2 linked regions of the Daphnia pulex genome follow. The protein of the gene in region 1 interacts with the protein of each later gene in a pairwise test. Links are inferred from orthologs where the notes say so. Each region holds a gene or a part of one and is shown on either strand. Other genes may lie near its edges.

Evidence for each region.
Region 2: the proteins of armadillo segment polarity protein-like (region 1) and tax1-binding protein 3 homolog interact in a two-hybrid assay, tested with the Caenorhabditis elegans proteins (2 studies listed by BioGRID). The link is inferred for Daphnia pulex from reciprocal best matches to the Caenorhabditis elegans genes hmp-2 and txbp-3.

Annotation. Positions count from the first base shown.
Region 1 is NC_060020.1:4,722,842-4,726,779, reverse strand, and holds the start of armadillo segment polarity protein-like, read left to right. Parts: upstream 1-1,138; 5' UTR 1,139-1,295; intron 1,296-1,482; 5' UTR 1,483-1,520; coding exon 1,521-1,554; intron 1,555-1,620; coding exon 1,621-1,760; intron 1,761-1,822; coding exon 1,823-1,943; intron 1,944-2,007; coding exon 2,008-2,195; intron 2,196-2,255; coding exon 2,256-2,414; intron 2,415-2,499; coding exon 2,500-2,654; intron 2,655-2,740; coding exon 2,741-3,042; intron 3,043-3,102; coding exon 3,103-3,251; intron 3,252-3,335; coding exon 3,336-3,545; intron 3,546-3,608; coding exon 3,609-3,741; intron 3,742-3,802; coding exon 3,803-3,924; intron 3,925-3,938. Other genes in the region: cysteine desulfurase, mitochondrial-like, read left to right, coding at 2-65. UniProt on the Caenorhabditis elegans protein: Required for cell migration during body enclosure and cell shape changes during body elongation. Plays a role in recruitment of the cadherin protein hmr-1 to adherens junctions.
Region 2 is NC_060028.1:2,456,853-2,473,578, reverse strand, and holds tax1-binding protein 3 homolog, read right to left. Parts: upstream 10,019-16,726; 5' UTR 9,925-10,018; coding exon 9,877-9,924; exon of another isoform or gene 9,827-9,876; intron 9,775-9,826; coding exon 9,646-9,774; intron 9,575-9,645; coding exon 9,538-9,574; intron 9,470-9,537; coding exon 9,429-9,469; intron 9,290-9,428; exon of another isoform or gene 9,079-9,289; coding exon 8,968-9,078; 3' UTR 8,449-8,967; downstream 1-8,448. Other genes in the region: vitellogenin-like, read right to left, coding at 309-479, 550-760, 837-1,030, 1,100-1,183, 1,391-1,558, 1,650-1,795, 1,887-2,184, 2,276-2,446 and 21 more; dedicator of cytokinesis protein 3-like, read right to left, coding at 10,869-12,489, 12,554-13,147, 13,212-13,411, 13,501-13,663, 13,764-13,781, 13,896-13,981, 14,047-14,214, 14,288-14,431 and 7 more. UniProt on the Caenorhabditis elegans protein: May regulate a number of protein-protein interactions by competing for PDZ domain binding sites.

The sequences.
Region 1 (3,938 bases):
GTCCTCTTTGGGAAATGGTCCAAGAAGGGATTGATTTGAAAAGTATCAAATGGACGCAGCACTAATCTTTCCATTCAAAAACAAAACTGAAAATGTTGCTGTATAAATTCAGCCTTGTAAAGAAAATGATTTGGAAATATACACTGAAAATAGTGTTGACCAATAACCTTTAATATCTTTTAAGACGATTGTTGCAGAAAATGGTATCGTAAAGTTACAAGTTACTTTGGACTCTTTAACAGTAAAATGAGCCGGGAAATTTATTAGCTATCGGTACCATTGCGGTGCAATAATAAGTCAATATAAAGTATCGAAGGACTAGATCTAGAATAGATTAAAAAAAAAAAAAAACGGCACATCCTGCAGAGAAATTTGACAGCCTTAATATGTCCGTTTTTTGTTCAATAAACGAGTTGATATTTTTGACAATGCCAAACGACTAAGTTTCCGTCGAAGCTCTTTGGGTTAAAAAAGTTTGAAGTCGTTCCTAGCACACAAAAAAGCAGGTGTGCATGGTAACGAAGACTTTTGATTCCTTTCACACTCTTTGTATGTGATTTATGGGGCACTTTTACTTGACATTATACTTGAAGTCATTACATGAATTTCATTTAAAGTTTGGAAAAGGTGAAGAAGTTAATGTAATCTTAAGCGAGCAAGCGAACTTTTGTTTTTTTCATTGCTGCATATCGGGAAAAAAGTACAAAAACCGAAATTTCATATTGCGGCGATTTATTCTTTAGCCAATCGACAGCAATCCACGGCTCCCTACCCCTGAAATGCCAACCTATTTATTACATAGCTGTATCTAGGTAATTAAAAAAGGAAGAGGTTAAAAACCTGCTTGAGAAGCAATGCACTTTTTTTTATCATTTGTTCAATGGTATTTGTGAGTCATTCCGAACTTGAAACTTTTTTTTATTCCCCTCCCACTCTTTCCGTCTGGACAAACGGGCAGGGGAAACTAGCTATGTATTCCTACGCTAGAAATTTTAAAAAATATTCTAAAATATTATTGGACTTTCCCACAAATATTTGTTTTATTATTTTTTTTTGTTTTGGAATAAAACACATTAAATACGTAATTTCAAGCTATATTTAAATGTTTTTGGTTTTATTGGTTTACCATAGAAAAACAGAAAACGCCAAAAAAATAGTTCCGTTTCAAGCTGATGGCCGCCATCTTTAAGGGCTTTTTAGACGCGTCAGTACTTCAGAACGAAGCAGGTCCTTGTTTTCTGATTGTGGCAGGTGTGGCTCTGTTAATCTCTTGTCACCAAATCGAAATTCCAAAGGTATGTGACCTTAAATTGTTTAAAATTACACTTAAAATGTTTTTCGAAAGCAAACAACAATTTTCTCGACTTTTGAATGGCTTTTTACTGTGTCGAAATCTCAAGTGACAGTCAAACACGCAGTTTACTTCATCATAGTTGCGACACTTTGTTAGCCCTGGTTCTTACCCTCGTTTCTTTATTTAAGGTTATCTCGTCGCAAAGTCGTCGATACACAGCCGCATCATGAGTTATCAGATGCAGGCACAAGGGAGGCCAAGTATGAGCTTTTTTAAATTAAAATTTTTCATTAAATCTATTATAACTCTTTAATTTGTATGTATAGTGTCACATGGGCAATATGTTAGCAATAGCCCTGCTGATCTTCCTATGCCCAGCGTTAAGGAACATACATTGATGTGGCAAGGAGTTGGGCAACCTGGATATGTAGGAGATTCAGGAATCCAAAGTGGGGCAACCACTCAGGTAAATATTGAGTGAATTGTGCGAGTGAAGGTAACCTTTCGAACTAAATGTTTACTTCTTAGGCCCCATCACTCTCTGGAAGAGGTGGTGATGATGATATGGATACTTCTGAAGGAGGAGTCATGCTTAACATGGGTGGATCAAGTGGCTATTCAGCTGGTTATACTCAAGACCAAGTTGAAGGTAAACAATAAAATATTTTTGATTCTTATTGCGGTATATGTTTTAATCAAATACTTTGTTACAGACATGAATGCTCAGTTAAACCAGACTCGCTCCCAGCGTATTCGTGCTGCCATGTTTCCAGAGACACTGGATGAAGGAATGGAAATTCCATCTACTCAGTTTGATACCACACAGCCAACTGCTGTTCAGCGTTTAGCCGAACCGTCGCAAATGTTGAAACATGCCGTTGTTAATTTGATCAACTATCAGGTATTATTGCTGAAATTCAAAATTTTGAACTGCTTAAAGTAATAATATTTGGGTTGGTAGGATGATGCTGATCTAGCTACAAGAGCTATTCCCGAACTGATCAAGTTGTTGAACGATGAAGATCAAGTTGTCGTATCTCATGCTGCCATGATGGTTCACCAGTTGTCCAAGAAGGAAGCGTCCCGCCATGCTATCATGAATAGCCCACAGGCAACCAAAGTTTCTATGATTTTATTATTACTCTGTGTTACACTTCTTTTAAAATTATTTTCCAAGTTCATAATGCATATCCGTTTGATCGTAGATGATTGCGGCTCTCGTTCGAGCACTGTCCAATAGCAATGACCTGGAAACAACCAAAGGTGCCGTTGGTACCCTGCACAACCTATCACATCACCGCCAAGGATTGTTGGCTATTTTTAAATCTGGGGGAATTCCAGCTTTGGTGAAGCTGTTGAGGTATTGTCCCGTCTCATCCTTCATGTGTCCGAACTGACGGCTTTCTTCAAACGTTACTTATTTTTATTTTTTGTCATCTCGAAAAGCTCGCCCGTGGAATCCGTTCTTTTTTATGCTATCACGACGCTGCACAACTTGCTGCTCCATCAAGAAGGCTCAAAAATGGCCGTTCGTTTGGCGGGTGGTTTACAGAAGATGGTTGCTCTCCTTCAGCGCAACAATGTCAAATTCTTGGCAATCGTTACTGATTGTCTTCAAATTCTGGCGTATGGCAATCAAGAATCCAAGTTGATCATTTTAGCTTCACAGGGGCCGATGGAACTTGTTCGAATTCTTCGGTCATATACTTACGAAAAGCTGCTGTGGACCACTTCACGAGTTTTGAAAGGTAATTTATAAAAACCGTAATGTTTAATGTACGTGATTTATTTATAAATTTTTTTCCCAGTGCTGTCGGTCTGTTCTAGCAACAAACCAGCTATTGTTGAAGCTGGAGGTATGCAAGCGTTGGCAATGCACTTGGGCCACCAAAGTCATCGCCTAGTTCAGAACTGTTTATGGACCTGCCGCAATCTTTCCGATGCTGCGACCAAGCAGGTGATTATCTTCTAAAAGAAAAATTATTTTATGTTCTGCTCCTATCTTAAGGACAATGCTTATACCTTTATTTTTCTCTTACAGCAAGAAGGTTTAGAAACCCTGCTTCAAGGACTTGTTCAGTTGTTAGGTTCTAGTGATGTTAACGTAATCACTTGCGCTGCCGGAATTCTCTCTAACTTGACTTGCAACAACCAACGCAACAAGACTGTTGTGTGTCAAGTCGGTGGTATCGAAGCGCTGGTTCGCACCATTATTCATGCTGGCGATCGTGAAGAAATCACCGAACCTGCCGTAATATATCCATCTTTTTAAAATGACAAACGTGTTGGTTCTTACAAAATCCATTAATTACAGATATGTGCTCTGCGTCACATGACATCACGTCACGCTGAAGCTGAAATGGCTCAAAATGCTGTTCGTCTTAGTGGTGGACTGCCCGTCATTGTCCGTTTATTGCAACCCCCCTCTCGTTGGCCACTCATCAAGGGTATGTATCATTATAGCAAGTTTGTCTTTTAAAATGTCTCATAATTACCATTTTTGTTTAGCTCTGATCGGGTTGGTTCGTAATCTGGCTTTATGCCCTGCTAACCACGCTCCGCTGCGAGAACAAGGAGTTATTACTCGTTTGGTGCAGCTGTTGATCCGTGCTTTCCAAGACATCCAACGAGTACGTTTGTTTTA
Region 2 (16,726 bases), on another chromosome or scaffold:
CATGAACCGTGCAATATCTTCGAAATATCGTATCATAGTCGATCATAGTCATTTGGTTTCATCTATGATTTTTAATAATGGGTTTACACATTTTATATTTATTCAGCAAATTATTATGGCTTATTATAGCGTTAATTACTGTATGCGATACATGGATTAGAACTTAATAAGCTGGATAATTCAATGAATCGATTTATTTGAACAATTAATAGCGGCCAATGTTGTAACTGTATTAAATGATTGTTGCCTGCTGGCATGGGTGTCAAATCAGAAGGAAGTAAAGCGTACTCAAATTACGCTCGAAACGCCTAGGTGAACGTAGAGTCAACCTGTTCAACATTGGGTCGACAAACAGTCGGTAAGTAGCGCGTTGTGCGGATGTCTTCTTTCTTGCCGAGCATAAAAGTCAACACTTTATGCTTTGCCTCTTGTTCCAACTCTTCGCCTAATTTTGGGTTCGTAACACAGTGAAATCCAATCTGTACAGAAAAAAAATAGATAGCAAATTTATTTTTCATTCATTCTGTTGTCTAATATTTAAACTCATACTATAGTGGGCTTGGAAGGGCCGTAGCAGGATGCTCGGCATTCTTTCACGATGCTAGTTGAAAAACATCTGGCTTCATCGGAACTACGTACTACCACAAGTGTTCGCCGAATTATGCAACTATCAGTAGGTGGGGAGCTTGGAGGCGAAGGATAAATGGGGGGTTCCTTTGAGTCTCGATCATGTTTGTTGTGGCAGGTATTTTGCTCCTCACTAGGAAGAAGTTGACGATATGTACAATTGTAATAATAATTTGAATATTTTATTAAGTCAATGGTAGTCTCCCTACCGTAGCTGGCCGCGGACTTTGTCGGGTAGACCCAAGCACGTCCTTCCTTGGTGGCCATCGTTCAGTTGGTAAGAAGCGGCCATCAAGGTTCCTGATGAGAGTGTGCAACGCTGAGGATCACGCAACTCGGAAACGATTTCTCCATCCATGTTACCACAAAGGCCGATCATCTTTCCTTGGAATGATCTGGGTGCCTAAAAAAAAAAACAGAACGCAAGTCCTTATGCATCAGCACAAAAGGGAAATTTTGTAGAAACACAGACCTTGACAGTGACGCTGCTGGAGGCGTCGGAGACTATGTGAATGTCATGGCTGTGTGAAGAAAGCTTGAATGCAGCTGGCCCGATCTGATGTATGGGAAAGGAGATATTAAATAGACTCCGATACAGATCAAACAAAAGACAAAACCAACAACTAGATCATTACGGTTCTAACAGCTAAACTCTTTGGCAAAAATTGTTTCTGCATAATAAGGAAGCAAGTATAATGTATTACAATCAACAATTCCGGCACTTAGTGACGTTAGGTTTTATACTATATTTTACGCATCAGACCTTATACACTCCAATGGACGGTCGTGAGCTTGACTGATTAGCCTGCTCTGCATGATGAACCTCGAGTGGTTGATCCTCGGTGACGACCACGTCCATGTCATTGTATCGAATTTTTAGGCTGGCTGCGGACACTTCCAATTTATCTCTTCCAACCAACAGGGTAACGGTCTATATAATAAATGAATTTAAGAAATGAATTATTAGCAGGTGGCGGATAAACAATTAAATTAGACAGTAAGAAAATCTAGCCATCACCCACTTTGTTCTCGCCATCTTGACGCATCAGCACGGCCAGCGTCTCGATGCCTGGAACCGTCAACACGACATGCTCACAGTCGTTGATGTGCGCGTTGTATTGCACTTTGTCGAACGTCGTAATGCTATTCCTTTCCAAGCGACAAATCGCTATATTATGTTTAACAAATAGCAATTAAATTTGGTTAATATTTTTCGGTAAATGTTAAAGCGACAAAGAAATAATTCGAAAATGGCCTACGAGCAAATCCATCGCTGATGGTGTTGTCGATCAATCTCTCGATGAAAGAACTCTTGGCGCTGATTGGGAAAACCACATTGTCCGTGTCGGAAAGCGGAAGTTTACGGAACAAAGTGTTGGACTGCGGCTTGAAAAACATCAAATCAACGGCCGACAAGGACGGTTGAACTTTGGCGGAGATTCGCAGCTGCTTGTTGGCGTTATTGACTCCGACTCGATTTTCCGACAGGTGCGGATAGAATTTGCTTTTCAGCCAGCCTTCCATGCCCAGCGTGGCGTTCAACAGTATGGGTAACATCTTCACGAACGAGACGGAAAAATGAAACCGTCAGGAACTGCTTTTCGATAGCAAAATTAGGAGAACTATTATCGGATGAATGAAATTATACGTGGCCGTATTTGACGGTGGCGTCGTACTCGTCCAGCACGGTGGCAAGCTCCTTGACAGCCAGACATTGCTCATGGCTGAATTCTCCACGAGATTCGTGCATGATGCAATCTCGATTCTCTGGCGAATCTTCCACGTATCGCCCAAACGTTTCGCTGCGTCTCATGCCAACCTAATCATTTTAAACCTATAGTTACGTGGATGCGCTAAATGGAGATAGTGCAACTATACGTACATCAACAACGATCTGATGGTCAGAACAAGAGTCTCCAAAACCAATGTTGGCGTTCCAAGAAGCTTCCATTGCTGTCTCAATCAAAGTACGTCGGTCCAGGGAAGGTAGTCGCGGATAGTTTCCGCCTCCTTCAATGCATAACTATCAGAATGAAAAAAATAGCCGGCAATTTTAAGCATATGTTTTGTTTTTTTTTAAATATTTAAACTAAGAATTCCTACGGTAAACGGATCCGACACTTCTTGATTGATGGGTAATTCCAGCTGAGCATTAACGGCCAGTTTGGTGCCTTCCGTTCCGTATGCTCCAGCAAAAGAGGCACCATAAATCTTAGGCGGTGAACCCATTTTTTCCATGATAAACTTGGCGTCCACGTGAATGGCCGATCCTTTTGGTACAGGGCCCAGAACCTTCGCCAAGAACAAAACATGAAATAAAATTTTTTTAATTCAATCAGCTTGATAATCCTCTAGTTAAAATAGGAAATAGACACCTAGAGTTAATATTATTAGATCTATTACAAGATAATACCTTGTTAAGTTTCTTCTTGATTTGAGGTTCCATATTGTTTGACAGGTACTGAATGCGATTGGCCGGTTCTTTGATGGCGGCAGGTGATTTCGAACCTGTGCTGTACACTTGAGTTCCTCTATCCAACTTATCTGCTGCATCTGCAAAATAATTGCATTCAAAATTTTAGAATTCTCTCTCTGGTTCGCTTGAATTGTTATCACTAATTGAGATTTTTTTACCGAGATTCAAGGAGAAGACAATTTTGGTGGTTTCGGAGGCAATTGGATCCAGAGTAACGCGGTAAGACTGAAGGTGGAGTGAAACAGGAAGGAGAGCAAAGTTCGCGTCCATGAGGATTTTGGAAAGTGGTTCTTGCCAAATGGATCGATGATTGGCCGAAGCTGGAAGTTCACTCCTGCTTGTCCAATCCAATTTCAATCCGGTCTTGCCCCCGACTGGATATTGATGCTGAAATTGAATTGTCAATGATACAACACTTTATTATAATTGTAAAAACCGGTAGTTAATTAACATTGGATTTGGCTACCGTCTGAGGAGTCACTCCAAATGCATGAACATCTTTTGATTCACCGGGACTAGGATTAATTGGCAGGTCCGTGCCGAGAGCCTGTAGAGCCGTGAACGGCCGGACCCGGTAGTGATAAAGGGTGGTAAGCCCAGCCGGTCCCGATGAAGCCGGCTTCCAGGCCGTCATCAATTTCCAGTTGTCTAGTTCGACACCAAGAGTTAACCGGCCAGGTAGACTAAGGGTCACGTGAGTGTCAACGCCCGAAACTGGTATCGCTTTAGTGAATTCCACGTTGACACTCATGCTGGCCATCAATTTGACGACTATTCTACGAATGACAATCAGCAATATGTTATTTTTAAAATCGTTTAAAAAACGGACTGAAATATTTTTAAATACGTTGGCTTGACGTCAAGTTCAAGACCCAGATTCTTGATAGAGGCGGAACTAGCCCATTTCTTCAAATCCATAAAATCGCTGAAGCCTCCGTTGGTGATTTGCATATCACCTAAGATAAATTGGGCTCGAATGAACGCAATTGTGATAACTGAGAAACGGAATGTGCGAGATACCTTTGAAAGATGTCAAAACTTGAGTCTGAGTGCGTGTACTAATCATGAAGCCAAGCGTGCTTGGCACCAGAACTTCAGCGTGAGTCAAAGGCATCCACTTGCGACGGGAAAATTCGCGCTTGACAGAGACGCTACTGGAAGCCCATAGACCTGTGTCGGTCAATTTTCAAAATTTATTTTGTAAACAGCTTGGCAAGAGTTTTAAGTTAATACTTTGTATTAAGTCGGTAATGCCTGCCTCGTCGAAGGAAGTGAAATGATGAACAGCTTTCATCAAACTCAGATGCAAGAAGGCGTCCGCCGATCCGGCGTCCTGTGCTGGAATGGGACTTTTGGCGTTGAGCTGTTTCTTCACTCGGCGCAGGTCTGGATGCAGGTCGAATTCGCGGAAGCGGCCGCTATTTCTTGATTGAGAACTGTCACCGTTCTCCGAGGACGGGTTGAATTTGGCCACAATTCGGTCCCAGGCACTTCTCCAGTTTTCTCCGTACGCTTCAAACTAAAGGAGATTTAAATTTAAAAAACTATTTGCTGGTTTGTATTTTTCATTATTATGGTCGTTTACCTCGAAAATGTCAAAGTGGTATGGCCCCAGAACCCAACTGAGCCGACTGTACAAACTTTTGGGGAAGATGGACTCTTCAGAATTAAACATTTCGCTGTGGAACTCGGCGCCGGCGTTGCGTTCTGCCACCAACTGAGACCGTTTCAAATTGTATGAATATTTCAAACCTAAGGGAACGCGTTTGGCTAACGGCAACACAATTTGTGCCTTCTCCGATCTAATCAATTGGCCAGAGAAATTTGATGAACTATGAGTTATACCCAATATTATAAGATTAACTTACAATTCTTTTAAGTTCTCGACCGGTTCAATGTTGCTAGCCAAGCTGGAAAGAGTCGTGTACACGAAGGAGGCTACCTGAAATCGGTAGATATGAAAAAAAAATTTAAACGTAAGTAAAATAATACACCAGGTAAACCTAAATAAAGTATACTATACTATAAAGGTGTACCGTCCTAAGATACCTGAGCGCTATGTTCAAACCAAGTGGAAACGGCGATCCTCTGCCACCTATACGCCGGAGGATTGGCTAAAATGAGCAGCGTGAAAGCTGCCATACGAACCTGTGAGCAACAAATCGAAATTAATTTAGTTGTATTGTATGATTTCCCGCTTATGTACAAATCTATTCAATAACTTACTTCACTACTCTCGTTTGGATTCTGGAAAGTAGTTGACAGGACTTGGATGACCTTTGTGTTGGAATCGTGAGCAATTTTGTGCAGACTGATTACAGCCTTGGTCCTGATGAGCGGAGAATAATCACCCTAATATCGGATGATGAAGATAAAAAATCAGACAATTTGACCAGACAGACATATTTAAATTTAACTGTGAATACCTTAGCTTTAATAATGGGAAGAACGACGGAGAGAATGGATTCGTGGCCGATTTCTCCGAGGGCCGTCAGTGCAACCATTTTGTCTTCGATTGAGCCCCCTCCGTTGATTTCTTTGTAGAGGAGCGGGACCAGTCGGCTGGTAATGAAAGCGTCGTTGGGTTGGCAAAAGTCGCCGTAGAGTCCAGCCGGAAAACGAGTTCGAGCTTCGCTGACGTTAACACAGGCCACGTGCGCCAGTTGGGAAACGGACATCATCGCCGAGTGATAGATGGGCCGTTCCGATCCTGAAAAAGCGCTGGTGGCTTTCAGCATAGTCTATAAATGAATGAACAAAAAAGGTGAAGGTTGCATGTAAACTGCGTTGAAATAAAACAAATCGGTTTTGCGATTGGAATCGGGTCAACAAATTCAGGATTGTGTTACAAAAAGTTCGTTAAGAAGCTCGGCTGTCGGCGTGCGCACGTACAACGGGAAACCGGAAATGGCTTGCAAACTCTCTGACTTGGTTAGTCGTCGGCTCAGAATGGCTTCTTTCAAGAAGGTCACTGTTGGATTGCTGCCAGCTGCAATCACTGCATCCAGCAAGATGCTCCTGTTTTGAAAATTCCGATTTTAAAAATGATCCAGTCCCGAATATTTAGTATTTTCTCGTCACCTCTCAAGAGTCGAGCGATGGCCAATTTCGCCAACGAGTGAACTGATTTTCTGGTAGTCCAAGTGTCGGACGAGATGTGAAATGGCTGAAATCGTATCGACAGCTGCTTCCTCTTGACTAACTTCCATTTGATCGACGGCCTTGGCCAGAAGGCGATCCACCTCTTCCAGAAGGTTGTCGACGCCCTGGTGGAGTTGGTCGGGATCGCGCAGGAGAGGCATCCGCATCAGTCCGTCCGAAAGCCAACTGCTGCTGCTGGCGTTCGTTCCCGGGAAGGAATAGACTAGCGATCCGATGGCCAGTCCACTGTCCAAATCCTTGGGCGGCCAGGCCGAAGAAGACGAAGCGTGGCGGACGGCCTGCAGCGTCAACTTCATCAGCGAAAGAGACCTGAGCTGCTCCGTGTCGTAGGCGTACGGACTGGTCCTCACTTCTCCTTGATGCGTCATCTTCAATAACGTGAAGGATTCCAAGCTGCCGCAGGCGATGTAACGATTGACGGAAGAGCGCTTTGTGTTTGAAATCCAATCGAAAAGATAAATCATTTGTAAAATTATTTGAATAATTCAATGAAATTCACTTCGTATATTACCGAACGAGCTGTTCCGCAAGCGGCCACGCCCGATTTGCATTGCCATCCGGAAGGAGCGATGATGGTGTAGACGGGTTTGTTGAGCCGACACTTGCTGTAGTCCTTGGTCTTGACCACTTGGAAGAAAGTCCCTTCGACGCACAGCTTGGGCATGGGGTTGAGTTTGCTGTCGGAGCGAATGAGGGCATCCGATAACGGGGCGATCTCGTAGAGGGTTTCACACTCGCCAGTCACACCGCTCTGCGTATCGTCCAAGATAAGGAGATTTTCAAAATGTACATACATAAATACGGTGTAGTGACCCTATTACCTCAAAGACTTTGAAGACAGAGTTGACGTCGTCATAAGAGTCTTCCGTTGGCAGGCCAAAGTTGCGCGACGCTGACTCGACACTTCGGCTGCCAGAGACGTGCAGCTGCAACTTGGACGCCACGGCTTTTTTCATGTTGATGGACCAAAACGGCTCGTCCGCACTCACCACCAGCGATTCAAACTGAATTTCATAAATAGCGCCCCAAGTGAAAACTTGATGGAAAATGCGAGTCAATTGATGATTTTTTTTTTTTAAATACCAAGCCCTCGCGGTGACGAATGACGAAGGGTTTCTCTAGAAAATATTTGCCCTCGACGACGACCTGGGTGCCGAGTTGGCTGGACTCGAGTTCGCTCCAGCTCTCGCCGACGTCCGTGTGGAAATTCCAGGCGGTGACGTCCACCAGCTAATTTTATTTCAAACTCCATTTAGAAAGACAAAAAGAGAACCATACGGTGACATGATGATATGATATGACTCCGAACTTTACCTTGACGACGATGGACCCAGCGTCGCGGCACTGGACCGTCAGCTGGGAGTCGAATTTGACACCGGCCGCCTGCGGTCCCAGCTCCGGAATGTCGCTGACCGAGATGGCGTGCATCCGGTAGACGTACTCACTGCCCGCCGCCCATGGTGCTTTTTTAATTTTTCCAATTTTAAAAAGCAGAAAAAGCTATACTATATGCTAACGTGGTAAATGTTATAAATACGGAACTTACTGTATCGGGCAGACGACACCGAAGCTGTCGGGGAAAAGTTGGCAGGTGGTGGCGGGAATATGAAAAAGTAAGATGAGATTTATATCCATCGCGAGTAGTAGGAATGAGCACCGAAACACGGAACAACAACAACAACAACAACACTATGAAACACACTTACCAAGACCCAAGACCAGCCCTACAAGGACGGCCAACCGCGTTTTCATGCCCATCCTAGTGAAATTCGAATCCATTGGCTCATCCACGTATTTATAGACGGGCGACTGCGCTGGCGAGCGCAGGCAAACACGACTGCTGGATGGGCTCGAATGGAGCGAGTGTCAACTGGCTTCCTGATGGGTTGATTATCGCGTCCGTCCCGTCCGAGCCGCAAGGGACGACGGCAACATGTGCGGTAACAGCGAAAAGCAATACCCGTTTTCCGTTTGACCCAAGGGAGCCTTGGACTTTGGTGGCTGGACCATTTCACTCTCTCTCGACCAGTCACGTCAATTCAGCAATCGCAGGCGGGACCGATTCTTTATCTCCTCATGACTCAGCTGCTTGCCATTTTCTTTTCCGACGTGGTTCGAGTATTTCGCGTCATAATAATCGCTCGCTTCCACTCATATCGACACAATCATCAGCAAAAACGTGGTTCGGTGGCAGCGCCAAACGATTTTATTTTATTTTTTTTTCGTCTTGAATTTTTATTGAAATTTAATTTGAAAGCAGTTTCACAGACAGAAGGAAGATGACAAGTTCAACGATCGGCTCCAGTCAATCAGCAAAATATTGCGTTGGGTTTGTTCCTTTAGAAAGAAAAAGAAGAAGAAGAAAAACAACAACATCATTCATTCGACAAAATGAAAAACAATATCTTGAGGGAACTTTGGCACTGGCACGACACGATCCAACATTATACTGCGACTCTTCTTTGAATTTTGTAGCACAAATTGGAAGGGAGGTGACAGAGAGGAAAAGCATAAATTGATTAGAAAAATGATGAAAGCCGCCAGCAAATAAGGGGGGTGGAAACGAGCAGAGTCGACATAAAATTCAATTTTACTGAAACGGCTCGTTTTTTTTTACCCCCAACTCAAAAAATCATATATAAATATCTATATAAAGCTGATATAATGGTCCTCGTCGTCCAAACGCGTCCAAACTGTTGTGCTCACGAATGTGTTACTCCTTTGCGAGCAACCAGCATATTCAAAACGGGATATTTCTTGATGTAGTCGACAGCCTTCTTGTGAGTGCACATGGTCAAATCGTACCCATTACACTTTAAAAGGAGATAAAGAAAAAAACAAATTATTAAAATCAGGCCAAACCAAGTCCACTCTCGAAGGAAGACGCGAAGAATTATATTAAAGACATCTTTCTGGCGAGACGTGCCAAGTGCGAACGTGACGGGTCAAAAAAGTTTCTTATCTGACATCCGGATTTTAGTGATAATCAATATTTCCAAAAGCAACAAAACTGGCACAATTGAGGTAATTACCAAAATACAAGATCTGGAGTTAATTAGATGCAAACATTTCACTAAGCTAGTTCAATTCAAGTTTAATATTTCTTAATTCACTGAAAGACCGTAAATGTTTTAAAAAGAAACAACTCAACCAAATAAAATACCTGCAGTATCTTGTCATTCATCCGCAGACCAGCTTTTGCTGCTATAAATTTATAAAAAATATATTAATTTTTAGATTTTTCACAATAACAAATTGTTGCACTCTCTTACCTGGGCTATTTTCTTGTACTTCAGTGACATAAATTCCCTAAAGAAAATAGACAATAAAAATATGGTAAAATCTTTACAACCAGCAGTGTTACTGCTTAAAGGACTCACATTATCGGAATAGTTTTGTGGACTTTTTCTGAAGTCCTGGTCGATTCCTCCTCCTATTTTAAAGCCACACCTATGCACTTCTCTTCCTTCATGATCTAGGACAGATTCTTTGTGTAGAGTTATGGGAATCTGGAACATACAACACATTTAGACATTTTAGATACACAATATTGTTATTTAGGTGAGTCATTCGAGGTCAAAATCAAACGTCAAATTCGATGGGACACTCACGCTGAGGCATTCCATTGCAGTTCCTGCTTGGTGAAAAAAAGTCGACATTTTGATCTAAATTCAAATATTCTACAGTTAGCTACGCACTAAAAATGTGTCAAAAAGACAAACTAATTGTTTCTCTTTTTCTTTGTGCAGTTAAAAAGAGACAGCTGTCAAACGGAAAACTGAAAACAGTGGTTAATCGGCGAAGTTGCCAAATTTCAGAAAAATTGACAGGTCATTGTCATCGTTTATTTCTAATCATGGATACATCTACATAAAATCTTTTTTTGATAATAAGTTCTTTGAAATGACATGATGATCGAGAATCACGTTGTTGGGAATTGCATCCAAAAAACGAAGCGACTCTCAATCCACAAGTGAATGTCGTCGTGATCCGTGATTGATTGATGGAAAAAAGCTTCAAAACTCAAGATAATGAAAGAACAGAAAGAAAACAAACAAAAATTATGCATGAACTCGCTCTTTTCTTTTGAAATGTTCTTCCGTCAGGAGAAGTCAAAGAATCTGTCGAAGGAATATATAGAAATGGAAGACTACACTCAGACACTCAGATTATTGTGATATGTCAACACACACAAGAGACAGGAACGCTGGAACGCTCTACGTTTTCTCCATTGATAATACTCGACATGGCATATATAATATAGACACAGCGCTACGTTTATATACGTTGATGCCTAATAGGAGAGGAGGAAAGATCCGATACGGAACGTCAAGGGAATAGTATATGATATGAGTATAGTTTCATTGGGAAAAAACAAAAAAAATGAAAGAAATAGTTATTATTATTATTACTGCTGAACTAATATAGGAAAATAGGATCTACACAATGCAACGGAGTTTTTTTCTTCTTTGGATGAACGTCGGGTGTGTGTGTGTGAGTATATGTAAATGATGTATAGTGATGTTGATTTGATTTGACATTCTGTCGGTCACTGTGGCGAGCTGACTAATCCAAGCTGCTCAGATATTACTAAAATTTCAATTCAAGCGGTTTCGACAGAGTAGAGAGATTCGTCGGGTGGCGGAAGGATCGGAAGGGGAGGTGGGGGCGATGCGGGAGGACTAGGACTCTTGGGGCTGCCGTTGGACATCATCCGGCAGCCGGAAGCTGCCAACAAACTGCACACTTCGTCGACTAAGCTGCCGCTCCCGCTGCCGAGATCCAGCGGATTCGAAAACGAAGTGCTGTTGTTGATGGCCGGCCGGCCGTGCGGCGGAACCGGAGGCGGACCGCTCAACACAGGACCCGGTGTCAACGTCATTGGCGTCGACATGGGAGAGGCCGAGCATCCGGATTTCGGAGGCAGAGGAGGAGCCGGAGGCGGTCGGTGGTGTCGCAGCGTTCCGGCTTCGATGGCTTCCGGCGACATCATGAGATTGGACGGGATCATTGAGCCTTTCTTTGGCACTCGCTTGGGATGGATGGGGGGCGGAGATGACGCATCGCATCCGCCGGCAAACGATTCGTCGAACGAGGATTTCGATGATCTCGGCGGCAGGGGCGGTGCAGTTTGGCGCGGAGGAGTCCGGCTCGGAGTCGAATCCACCGTGTCGTGCACGTTGGGCGAGGACAGAGTGTGCCGGGATTGCTGGGCGAGGCTCGTCTGCGAGATTTTGCTGCTCAACGGCGTTCGGGTGATTGTCATCGAATTGATGGGATTGTTGGAACTCAAAGATTCGCGGTCCGTCCCGAATCCGGAATCCCGCAAAGAGGCGGGACTGAAGAAGATGTACTCGTTGGCCCAGCGGGGAGATTTGGCCCGGCTGACGTTGGTGACGGTCGACCTGGGCGTCGTCGAAGTTGAATAGATCGGCTGGAGTGGAACCGATCCAGCTGCACTGGCCGCTTGTAATTTTTCCAGGATTTCCGACGGTTTACAGTAAAGGTCCTCCTCGTCTTCACTGCCCACTTCGCCCACCGTTAGATGGCCGTACAAGCTGCTGCTGGAACTCGAGGAGCGATTGCTGGGCGGTCCGCCGGCCGTCAACGACCGCTGGGCTTTCATGCGGTCCGACACCATCGGCAGTGACGTGTTGAGCAATGGATTGCTGCTGTTCACCTTGGCCGGGCTGTACTCAATTCCGGCGTCGCTATCGGCCCGTCGGTGATGATGGGCTACAGCCGACGGCCCATGACTATTGGCGTAGCGAGCCCCAGTGTCCGGCGAAGGGAATCCCCACTCTTTCAGACGCTGTTTCATCTGGGCCAGACACTCGACCAGCCTTTTGTGAAGCGGCTGGACTTCCGGCGGGGCCAATTTGCCGTGAAGGGCCAATCCAGCCTCCAGGATGCGGACCTGTTCGACGATGCACTGGCGCAGTTGGAGGACGTGTTCCAGGTGTCCAGGATGGCTGGCCAGGAAATCGGAATTGAAGAAAGCCTCCTGGTATTTAGCGATTCCGCCCATGACACAGGCGTCGATGACGCCCTGAAGTCGCATGCTGAACGGATTGATGTTCCGGCGAGGTTCGGCGGCGTGCAACGACGCCAGCTGCTGCAATTCGCGATTGACCGACAAGACCGTCTCGCAAGCGTACTGGACCGGAGCGATCTCTTCGACGTGGCGGTCGACCACTTGGAACCAGCGCAAAATTCCCGGCAATCTGAAAATTTAAAATTCCCGCCATTTTATTCGAAATTCAATTGATTGAACATGAGTTGACTTACGGATGCTCGGTGACGAGCCAAGTGCGTTCGATCCAGAGGCTTTTGAATTCGTTGTCTCGATCAACAGGTCCTTTGTGGATGGGCCGATCCAGCTGGAAGCGGCGGACGTCGTTGACGCGGTAATAGCTGCGAATCTTTTCGTGAAAACCAACGAGTCCGGCGTCGAACACCGGATGGTCCTCCGCCACGGGTTTGACGTTGCAGATCTGGATGTGCTGGCCCTCCGAGGTCAGGATGACGTCGCCCGGCGGAGTGTTTTTGGTCAGAATGTGGGCGGTGGGGAACTCGGTCTGGAGCCGCTGGGTAAATGCGCCGATCCGCTCGTACTCGAGCCCCCGGTAGACGAAGAGGCGATTGCGCAGGAAGAGCGGGAATCCCTGGCCGTAGAAGCCGACGCGAAAGTACTCGGGTTCAGGCCGCAGCTGCGTCAGGATGTGGTCGTAAAAAGCGGCCTGCATCCGCAATATGTGCGAGAGTTTGCCGTAGTCGTAGAGTCGAGTCTCGTAAAAGTCGGCCAGCTCCTTACACAGCGGGATCCCCTTTTCCCAGCACTTGCCGCGGTCGAAATACGCAATGCTCTTCATGTAAATTTGCCTGCGGAATAAATTGTAAAATAATTGAAGTTTAGCCCATTAATAGTAGTAGTCCGGTTTGTTACTCCTTGCGTTGCCACTCCATTTGCGACGAGTGATGGCCGTCGGCTGGCAAATTTTGGCTGGACCAACTCATTTGGTTGGCGTGCAATTGTAACGTCAGGGCTGCTTCGGTGTAGTTGTCAGCCGATAAGTGGAGATCGTGCAATTTGTAGATGTAGCGCAGGTACATGTCACGGCGGTCCACCTCGTCTTTGTAGAAATTCTGAATCAAAATACAAAAATTTTTGAATTGAATTGAAGAATAATTCCGGCTCGTGACAAATTTATGAACTTGTTGTACTTGTACTATACCAGCAAATTGAAGGTGCAGCTCATTCGTTTGTCACGATTCTCTTCGCCTTCCATGACGTTGCGGTAGTCCAGCAGCCGTTCCAAGAGTCGCGTAATGGAACCTATGAAAGCCTTGCCGTGTTTCTGCCACGTCACGTCGCACGATTTCACCTTCTCCAACAATCTGCAACCGGAATTTGAATAAAACCAATTAGTCATTTCACGATTCGCGATCGAGAAGATATAGTCGGAGAGTTTATCTGATTGGGCCCAACAATACTTACATTGAGCTCAACATTTCCCTTTCATTTTGTGTTTAAGAAGCGTTAAAGAGAAAGATCAATTTTAAGTCAATCGCAGAGCAAAACATTGATTGGAAAATGCCACTAATCAAAAAAGGAAATGAAAACACTTACATGGTGTTGAAGAGTTCCTTGTAATTGTCGTCTCCTTTATTCTCGCCCACCAGGACGTCCAACTTGTCAATCAGTTCCGATTCAACCTGACAGAATATGAAAAGATTTGAATTTCATTGAACTTTAGAGGGTTCATTTAATAAATATTTACCTGTTTGAAGTTTCCCCTGTGTCGATGTTCGCAGTCGAGCATGTCGAAAAAGATGGGCAGTGTGGCCCGGCGCAGAGTTGGTTCTGGAACTAGTGTCACTTGCAGAAATGGCCCGACCATCGTCGGTATAAAATGAATCTTGTAATCACCGATGGCATTCCACATAGTCTAAGAATTTTGAGAGAAAATAGTTTGAAATTATTCGGCTTTTAAAAAATTTCAATTTCTATCAAAATAATACCAGAATTTGGAAGCCCATCTGAACCCGCATATCGCCTCCCTGGGCGCGGACCATTTTCAGTCGCTGACTGGGGGTGCGCTTTTCCAGCTGCAAACTGGGTTGCGTCAAAAAAGAGACGGCCAGATCGAAGTAATTGCTCCACAGCTGGAAAATAATTTCATTGGTTAAATCATCACAAATGAAATAAAAGTTTTGACAAGGATTGCTTAGTATACCTGACTGTCGAACCAGCCGGAGTCGAGGAAATAGGCCACAAGCGGTTGGGTCATTTGATCCAGAGATGCCAGCATGACGCGGTTGACAACGCAGTGCATGGTGGACCACTCGGACGGGAAGACGTGCTCGCCTTGGCGGGCCAGCGCCCTCAGCACGGCGAACAGTTGCAGCAGGAAATCCTTGAGCGGTTTGCGTTCCGACAATTCCGACCAGAGTCGGTCGTAGTGGCCCTGATCCAGCAGTTCCAGTACGCTCAGCAAGCAGGCCACCAGAGGGCCCTGTTTCAATTCATCCGCCAAAATAAGAATCATTTTTAATACGATCCAATTGTTACGCCATCCAAATGCCAATTCTTACCACATTGGAATCGGTTTTCTGGGCCGATTGGACGGCCTGGATGAGGACGCCCAGCGTCGCTAAGGTGATGGTTTCGACGTCGCGATACCAAATGTTGTCCACCGTCGTGTCGTCCATCATGCTCATCTTGCGGTAGAAATTCATCATGTGGCCCAGGGTTTCCGTGCACAGGGACATGACCAGCGGCTGCGACAGGTGGAGCCGAAGCTGGCGGCAGATGGTGGCCAGCAGAATGGCCCGAGCGGCCGACGATTCCGTAAAGAGCGGCCCGCGGACGGTGGTCAGGACGAGCTGCATCCGGGCCGTGGCGATCAGCGGATGCGGCTCTTTGGGCAGGCTGTCGATCAACGACGCCAAGAGTTTGGAGGATTCCGCTTGGCTCAGGATTTGGCTCAGCTGTTCCACCACAGTGTAAATATTGCGCAGCAGCACAACCTGGAAAAAAAAAATGGACGAGCCGGATATCAATAGAAATCGCTGGATAAAACATAAATATTCCGGCGTATTGTATGTTACCTGAGTGCTGACGAGGACGTCGCTGTTGAGCGAGGCGACCTTGTTGAAAGTGGCGAAAAGTGACTGGACATATTGGCGGAAATCGTCGTCCTCCTGGTTTTCCAGGATGGCCCTGGCGTAGAGCCGCCGTGACTGGATCACCAATTTGAAGAGAATTTCAAAAGCCCGGAAGCACTGCTGGATCGGCTCGAACTTGCAATCGCTGCTCGAGTGAACCCGGTCAGTGCATTGCTGGACGCAACTCAGCAGTCCCCTAATGAATTTAATTCATTTAAAAAAATAAAAACGAACAATTCAATCAATTCAAAATAATCGTCAATTACTTGTAAGCCAAAGCCGCTGAGAAATGGTCGGTAATGTAGGCGTCGACCACCGATTTAAAGTGCTGGAATTTACTGTCATCCAGCAGACTCAGAATATTGACCTATAAATTAACCAATTAATTAAAAAACCATCACGAGCTATAAATGTCATTAATATGGCGTGAAATCTATTCATTTTTTATTTGACATACCAGGACTTCAAAGACCAGGCCAGAATGGGGCGTGGCGTTGCCTTCCGTATCGGAGAACATGACGAAAAGCGAGTCGAGCACGTCCTGGAGAAACTTGACTAGCTCCTCCCCTCTGAGACGCATGACCAGGTTGAGTGTGTCCGTGATCCGTTCCGGATGAGATTTCCACTTGAGCAACGACAACAAATTGGCTGTGGAGAATAAAGAAAAAATCGATTAGTTTGTCTTGGTACAAATACATCCGGTGAATATAATTGAAAACCATTTTGAGTGAGTTTGGTGGAGCACAGGTAAAAAGCTACCGTGACCGACTCGCGACTGTTTCGATGGAACGAGGCGCAGGACGGTGACGACGAGCCGATGGAAGAAGTCGACTGAACGGCCAGGGCCGACTGGATCTGTTTCGTCGAGTAGGGCAACTGGAGATAGGAGACGGAGGGATCCTTGAAACGGGTCTGATCCTCCACTTTGTAGACCAGCAGTTGGTGCTGGCCGTCGGGCAAAACCGTTCCGTCACGGTCCATCAACGGGATGAAGGAGAAACCGATGAGCCGCTTCTCCGTTTTATCTTTGGCTAATCAAAATTGAATTGAATGACATTTATTTTATATTTTTACTGGACCATCTAAATGGCCTAGCGCTAAAAAACTTACTGCTGCAGTGCCGGTACTCTAGCCGCAAATGGGCGCCGTAATACTTTTCGATGGGCAATGAAACTTTGATCATCTCGTACCACACTGGGCTGTTCATGTGGTAGAGGACGACAGATTGGTGTTGCGTCACACCCTCAACATTGGAGGCTCCGTACAAACAATTCTATCAAATACACACACAAA